Arabidopsis thaliana: one gene and its partner. The protein of the gene in region 2 interacts with the protein of the main gene of each other region in a pairwise test. Each region holds a gene or a part of one and is shown on either strand. Other genes may lie near its edges.

Evidence for each region.
Region 1: the proteins of NHX8 (region 2) and ABCB23 interact in a protein complementation assay, tested with the Arabidopsis thaliana proteins (one large-scale study listed by BioGRID).

The regions. Positions count from the first base shown.
Region 1 is NC_003075.7:14,139,193-14,143,120, forward strand, and holds the start of ABCB23 (ABC transporter of the mitochondrion 1), read right to left. Parts: upstream 1,863-3,928; 5' UTR 1,704-1,862; coding exon 144-1,703; intron 1-143. Other genes in the region: IAA11 (indole-3-acetic acid inducible 11), read left to right, coding at 3,096-3,355, 3,810-3,928. UniProt on the Arabidopsis thaliana protein: Performs an essential function in the generation of cytoplasmic iron-sulfur proteins by mediating export of Fe/S cluster precursors synthesized by NFS1 and other mitochondrial proteins.
Region 2 is NC_003070.9:5,034,853-5,038,780, reverse strand, and holds the start of NHX8 (Na+/H+ exchanger 8), read left to right. Parts: upstream 1-2,170; 5' UTR 2,171-2,341; coding exon 2,342-2,561; intron 2,562-2,657; coding exon 2,658-2,708; intron 2,709-2,776; coding exon 2,777-2,868; intron 2,869-2,943; coding exon 2,944-3,021; intron 3,022-3,106; coding exon 3,107-3,264; intron 3,265-3,346; coding exon 3,347-3,448; intron 3,449-3,527; coding exon 3,528-3,645; intron 3,646-3,730; coding exon 3,731-3,783; intron 3,784-3,859; coding exon 3,860-3,925; intron 3,926-3,928. Other genes in the region: AT1G14670 (Endomembrane protein 70 protein family), read right to left, coding at 1-532, 641-681, 961-1,112. UniProt on the Arabidopsis thaliana protein: May act in low affinity electroneutral exchange of protons for cations such as Na(+) or K(+) across membranes. May also exchange Li(+) and Cs(+) with a lower affinity.

The DNA of each region.
Region 1 (3,928 bases), on a different chromosome or scaffold from region 2:
AATAACAAAAAAGTTTAAAATACCCTAAATAGATTTTTCCAATAAGCCCTAAGTAGATAACTAACATTTTACCTAATTTGTCACGGTTTAGACTAATAACAACAAAATGTAAGAGAACAATTCTAGTCAAAATGGCAACTTACAGTATCTTGAGGGACAACTCCAATGCAGCTTCGAAGACTCTCTAGTGTCACTTCCTTTATATCTTGACCATCAATCCTAACATTACCAGAATCTGTGTCAAAGAACCTGAAAATCATTCTAAGAATCGTCGATTTGCCGCTTCCGCTACTACCAACAATCGCTACACTTTTCCCTGCCGGTACCTCAAATGAAATCCCATCCAAAATCTTTCTCTCTGGCAGATAACTAAAATGTACATTCTCAAAACTGATGCTTCCACCTCTCAGAACAAGAGGAGGTAGCTTTGTCTCTGTATCTTTATCTCCAATATCGGATCTCTCCTCTAGCAACTGGAACAATGATTTCATATCAACAAGACCCTGAACGGTTTCACGGTAAACACCACCGAGAAAGTAAAGAGGAAGAGACAATTGAAAGAGAAGACCATTCACCATCACCAAATCACCAACTGTCATCTCTCCATTCATAATCCCTTGAGAACACAACACCATTGATGTTGACAAAGCTGTACTAAATATAAAACTCTGTCCAAAATCTAAAAACGCAAGACTCTTCTGAGTTTGCAATGCAGCATCTTCATATCTTCCGAGTAAATCATCGTACTTTCTCGCTTCGTAATCTTCGTTGTTAAAATACTTAACAGTCTCGTAGTTTACAAGAGAATCAATAGCTCTTGTGCTTGCATCATTATCAGCTTGGTTCATAGCTTTTCTAAACTTAGTTCTATACTGTGTCACAACCAATGTGAAAGCTATGTATGATCCAACGGAAAGAGAAGTGATCAAAGCAAAAACAGGTCCAAAATTGTATGCTAATATACCTGTGACCATTGATATCTCCAAGATCGTTGGAACAACATTGAAAACCATAGCAGAGAGGATCGTGTTAATCGCGCGACTTCCACGGTCAATGATTCTATTCAAAGCTCCTGTTTCTCGATTCAAATGGTAACGAAGATCAAGATCATGTAAATGCGAGAGCACTTTACGAGAAACAGATCGTATTGTGCGGAGAGATACTTTGGAGAAAACAGCAGTACGAAGCTCGTTAAAAGCTGAAGATCCAGATCGAGCAATGCCATAGCCAATGAGAACGGAAGAAGGAGTAGCGAAAGCAGCAAGTAGATAAGGATTTGAATCAGTGATTGTTGAAGATGAATATGAAGAGAGTAAATCGATAGATAATTTGAAGAGGAAAGGAACTTGAACATTCAAGAACTTAGCTCCTATGAGACACGCTAAAGCAGCGATGACTCTGAATCGGAGTTCTGGGTTGTCTTTCATCCATAGATAGCTTGAAATCGTGCGGAGGATCTTCTTAGATGATGCTGTTTTGGTTTGATCTTGATTTGGAGTTGAAGTTGAAGTTGAGAAGAAGAAGACTCGTGCGTTGACTGGAGATGGAGATGGAGATGGATCGGTGAAGAATGCATTGATAGCTGGTGATCTCTGAATTGAGCTACGTTTGATAAAACTGGAGAAACTGTGATGGTGATGATCAGAGCGAAGACGGTGATACAGAGAAGCGCGAGAGAGGAGAAACCGAGATCCCCTCATCATCGCTTCTTGTCCGAACGAATCACATACAATTTGGTCTAAATCGATTCTTTAATTCTCTGTTTTGTTCTCTCTGTACTACAGAGTAGCTTAACAAGAAGACGAGGAAGAAGATATCAACTCGGAAATAACCGGTTTTGGTTTTCTGTTTTTATTAAGATAATGAAATTAGCTATCTCGGAGATAACCGGTACTGGTTTGATTGCAACTGGGCTTGAGAGAATCAGATACGGTGGTACACACCGCAGCGAATCTCAGAGTATTCATTCTCTCACATGGACTCTTTCGAAAATTCAACTCTTCTACTATATGCAATTAATTAAAAAATTGAACGGTTTATTTGGAAAGTGAAAAGAAGCAACGGTCGGTTATGTCTTCCCTCCAGACGACAGGGTTTTTATTCGGACACCACTAAAAATGGACAGCTAAACTCCTTTATTGCCTTAAAAATTCAATTTTAATTACGTGATTAAAGATTAGATTGCCACTTGATTTTAAAATACTAATTAAACCTATATAGTGATGGTATCTAACTATCAATAGCTTTAAACCGGAACTAATCAGCACCGTCCGATTTGGAAAGATGGATGGACCAAAGGACGTGTGGGCACGAGTCCCCCCTCTCTGTACACGTGGGTCCCACTAAGCCTTCTAAGTAATCTTTTTCTAGCCGTCCGATTGAATCCCATGAAGCTGACATGTGAGCCCCCACTTCTTGAAAATATATATTTGTATGAATTTTGTTTTTATTTTATTTTCCAGCCTTTTAAAAATGTTTTTATTAATACCACGGATACTACCGTTTTGATATCAAATTTTCTTTGAAATCTATCCGATCTTATATCAGATTTTGGAGTCAAATACCAACTACAAAAATCTGAACATTAATACAATAATATACATTTTGAAAAATCATGTTGTCCATTATATTTTTTGGCATCTAATCCTATCGTTAATTGATTATAAGTTTATAAATATATTACAACGGAATTTCGCATAATTGTAAAACTTCCCTATATAAACTTACGAAAAATTGAAATAATTATACCAAAAGTCCACATATTTTATTTTAAAAACTTACATAAGTGGATATTGTTAAAAGAAGGAAAAAAAAAGAGTTTCTAGTAAATATAGTCACGGAATAATGTGAGAAATTTATTATTGGATCAAAAAAATGATAAAATTGGGCGAGAAATAAGACTAAAAGTTAGGGAAGTGAAAAAGAGACAAATCCCACCCGTCGTGTCTTCTTGTTCATCCTTTGTTTCCCTTTTTCTTTCTCACTGTTTCTGCCTTACTTAAAGTCTCAATCTTTGCTTCAAATTCAACCCATCTCTTTTTCCTCCCTTCCCTCACAATCAAAATCTTAATTCTCAGCTTCTGGTTTTGTCGAAAATGGAAGGCGGTTCCGCTAGTGGATCGGCTTCGGCTTTGTCAAACGATGAAAATCTCGTCGTTTCTTGTGAGGATTCTTCTTCTCCTATAGGGAATGAGCTTGAGCTTGGTCTTACGTTGAGCCTTGGTCGCAAAGGGTATCGAGATTGTAGGGTTTACGCTGATGATTCTTCTTCTTCTTCATCATCTTCTTCTCTGAGCAGAGCTAGCGTAATTGCTGGGATCAAGAGGACAGCTGATTCCATGGCTGCAACTAGTGGGTGAGTGAAATTCTCTTCCCTTTCCTCTTTTACATTTTGATCAATTATGGTTTATTTGGGGATTCTTAATATCATGATTATCAATAGAACTATAAATAAAGATTTGATTTTTGCTTTTTATGGTTATGGGATTGATTAGACAGAATGTCCTTGATCACAGTTATCTGAAAAGATTCGACCTTTGTTACGTATAGATGACTTTGAATGTATCTTCCTGATCATTAGATAGTTTGCTTTGGTCATTATATCTTCAAATTGAATCTTACTATCGTTTTCTAGAGATGACAGTTTTTTTCTTCTTGGATTCTAAAGTATTTATTAGCTTTGGAGAGAAAGTGATTAATCCTGTATAGTGATTCTCTTGGTATCTGATTTTACAAGGCCCTGAAGTGTTTATAACCCTTTTTATGTGTTTACTCTTATTTGAGCAATTTGAAACCTTTGAAAATGGCAGGCAAGTTGTGGGATGGCCACCAATAAGGACTTACAGAATGAACAGTATGGTTAACCAAGCTAAGGCTTCAGCCACTGAAGATCCGAACTTGGAGATAAGTCAAGCCGTAAACAAGAATA
Region 2 (3,928 bases):
AAAAGAAGGACAGTGACACAGGAGTTAATAATGGAGAACCAGTGGATTTCCAAATGATGTGGAAGAGAAGAAGACATAGAGTACTTCTCCATTCTTTTCTCAAAAGGAGTCTCAGTTTCCTTCCACTTCACAGTGTACATAAACTCTGCATCAACTTCCTTATCCTCAGTGAGATCCACAAGCGAATGAGGATCCATTCTAGCACTGATCTCGATCACACGGTCCTTATTGTATAGAATCTCAAACTGAATGTGCTTGTACAAGAAATATTTGAATTCACTCGGATCAGATTTGATATCCTTGTCAACCTTTCCAATGAATCCCCAGATAGGTAGATCATCATAGTACATCTGGAAGTAGTAGTCCTTCTCAACAGCTTTTCTGAACTGTTTGACCTCTTCTTTACTCAACTTCTTGTTGCAGTATACCTCAGACTCTTTTTCATCTCTGAAGTTGAGCTTGTATGGAGCGCTAACTAGCCGATCCCCGTTTAGAACCTCGCCAAGAGCTTCCTTCTTCTCTTTCACACCCTCTATAAACCATATTCAATAATGGGATGATCGAATCAGGAGATGTCACACAAATCAGTTGCGGCTTAAACACAAATCGTGTGATTAAGCTAGTAAAGATATAAGCATACCTGGGATACAGAAGGGAAGATCAAAATATCGATACGTCTCACTGCAATCATCATTGAACAAAACCAAAATCAGTCATATAATAGTATTCAAATCTAAGACAGATCCATCACATAAACGAAAAACATTCCAAATGTAGTTTCTTCTTTCACTCTTTGGTTTTAACATTACGCATTTTGCAGTGTACTCAGTTATCAATGTCGTTACTCAATTCAATAGCAACAGATTCAACAATAAACGATCAATTTATCATCCTCAGGCTTAAGAATGGGAAACAACCTCAGATCTGAAGCTCAGATCTAGAATAGATGTTTCCGTTTACCTTGGATTGTGAAATGGGCCGACCTTGTTGGCGTAGAGAGGAACGGTGTCTCCTTCCTTGTAACGGTGGTCGGAGGCGTCGGATCTGACATAGCCGGCGCCGGAGAAGAGGATAGCTCCGACAAGAAGGAGAATCGTCGTCGGTGTCCTCATTGCGTATTCTGCTCAAATCGTGAGATCTGAGTAACTTTTTTTATTTGGGAGAAGAGGGAGAAAAATGGAGGAAATAACGACAATATTTATATACCAAAGACTTCAATCAAACTCGAGTCAGCTACACAAATTTTAATATTTTTATTATTTTCTCACTTTATTTCATAAGAAAAATACATAAAAAAACTATAGTCAATAATACTTTATACCATTTCCAACCATAAAAATAAATATCAATGTCTATAAATTCATAAATATATGGCTTTTGAAACCAAGACTAATTATTTATAACAAATGTGAGTGGCATTTAACAAAATACAAATCATTTTCCCATATGTAGGCTAATTAAACCAAAAAAAGAATATGTAGGCAGTGAGCGAACTAATTGTTCTGCCAAACCTATGTATCTTATAGTGTTTTTTTTCCTTGGGTCGAAAATCTTATCGTATTAACACTTCATAAATTTTGAATAGTTAAATTATTACTTCTTTGTATTAGATGTGGAGTGGAGTGACTATTTTTTTAATATCTTTTGTGGTTATAGTATAGTGAATATGAAGAATGACGAATGATGTTACACGAGACCAAGTTTTTGAAAAAAAAAATATATGAATCTGATAATCATTTTTCCTTTACGTGCGTTATCGTACGTAATTGCTTTGCATGATCTCACGTCATGACAGCAATTATAGAAACTAAACAATTTAAAATTCTCATTTATACACAACGTGCATCGTTTTGAGGCATGGATAATTTAAGGTTTTCGATTTATAGATTGAATCAGCAAGAAATTACAATGTAGCCACTTATACCAAAAATAAAATCAAACAATTTGAACAAGATACATTGAAGTATGGATCAAAACAAACAAACAAAAGTGACACTAGTTAAGTTTAGAGACTAGAGTGAGTCGGTTTTGTTATTTCATAATTTGGTTCATGTAAATATATGTACCCTTCATTTGAACAGAGTAGTATAATCCAGTAACTACATTCATATCTAGCAAAGAAAACAGAAACCTAATCAAAAACGTATTAAGATTTCTCAAATTTTCGTTCAAATTAGTGATAGAAAACCAGACGTAACCGAAATAAAACAGGTCAAGCCAAACCAGACTAGATTCAATCTTGGTTCACTCTTAAACGAAGCAGATTCGGTTCGGTAAAAGCATCTTTGACCGTAATCACTGGCAAAACGAAAGATTGATCGTTTGCTTCTTTCTACCGGAGATGACGAGTATAATCGGCGCGGCGTTGCCGTACAAATCACCGGAGAAAGCAATTGCATCTTCTTCGTATTCAGCTGAGAACGATTCGAGTCCTGTTGATGCTGTTATTTTCGCGGGAACTTCGCTGGTTCTCGGCACCGCTTGTAGATATTTGTTTAACGGCACTAGAGTTCCGTACACCGTCGTTCTTCTCGTCATCGGCATTTTTCTCGGATCCCTAGGTCTTATTTGTTTGCTCATTAAGCTTTATAGCTCAGTTTCAATTTCGTGGAAGATTTTAGAAAGTAGTTAAATTTTGGATTTTTTTGCTTCTGTAGAATATGGAACTAAGCATAACCTTGGGAAGCTCGGCCATGGAATTCGTATCTGTAAGCTACTGTATTTTCTCTTCTCCATACTGTTAGATTACGAGCTCTAAAAAATGGCAACTTTACAGGGAATGGTATCAACCCTGACCTACTTTTGGCTGTTTTTCTCCCTGTTCTTCTTTTCGAGAGCTCATTCTCCATGGATGTGCACCAGATCAAGGTTTTTACTTTCCTGATTGAGCTACTTCCTTGGCTGTGTTGGTTCCTGGTATTGATTGTTTTACATCATTGGTAGAGATGTATGGGACAAATGGTTCTGCTTGCTGGACCTGGAGTTCTGATTTCCACCTTTTGTCTCGGAGCTCTTATAAAGGTACTTTAACTAGCTTCAACATTTTCGACTGTGATTAAGTGAGCTTCAATTAACTTAACAATTTTTTCGAGTTATGCTCTTGTAGCTTACTTTTCCATATAACTGGGACTGGAAAACATCATTGTTGCTTGGAGGACTTTTAGGAGCTACCGACCCCGTGGCTGTTGTTGCTTTGCTAAAGGAGCTTGGTGCTAGTAAGAAGATGACCACGTTAATTGATGGGGAATCTCTCATGAACGATGGGTAACCATGTCAAACTCTTATGTTTAGCATCAAGGTGATGTTATGTCATATATGATCAAGCTTAGTTGTTTGGATTATTCAGGGTATCGGTTGTGGTTTTTCAATTATTCTTCAAGATGGTGATGGGGCATAACTCTGATTGGGGTTCCATAATCAAATTTCTTGTCCAAAACTCATTCGGAGCGTATGGATTATTTTCCTTTGTTAGTAGTATTGTATGTCGCTGTCTTCTTTTCTCCGCTTATGTTGTTCTGGTTTTTTAGTGTAGGCATTGGTCTAGCTTTTGGAATTGCATCAGTTTTTTGGCTTAAATTCATATTCAATGACACGGTGGCTCAGATCACTGTAACACTTTCAGCGAGCTATTTCGCCTATTACACTGTATGCTCTTCTCTTCTACATAACTTAGTCCCCAATGGAGAATCTTAAATCTCTAGGAAACCTAAGAAATTTCTACTATGTACAGGCTCAAGAGTGGGCTGGGGTTTCTGGAATTTTGACTGTCATGATTTTGGGGATGTAAGTCGTGGTAAATTATCCCTTCTTTCTGTTGTTATGTGTCAAAAAGCCATTGTTCATAACATAATTGTAATAGGTTTTTCGCTGCATTTGCAAGGACAGCTTTTAAGGGGGACAGTCACCAGAGTCTGCATCACTTCTGGTA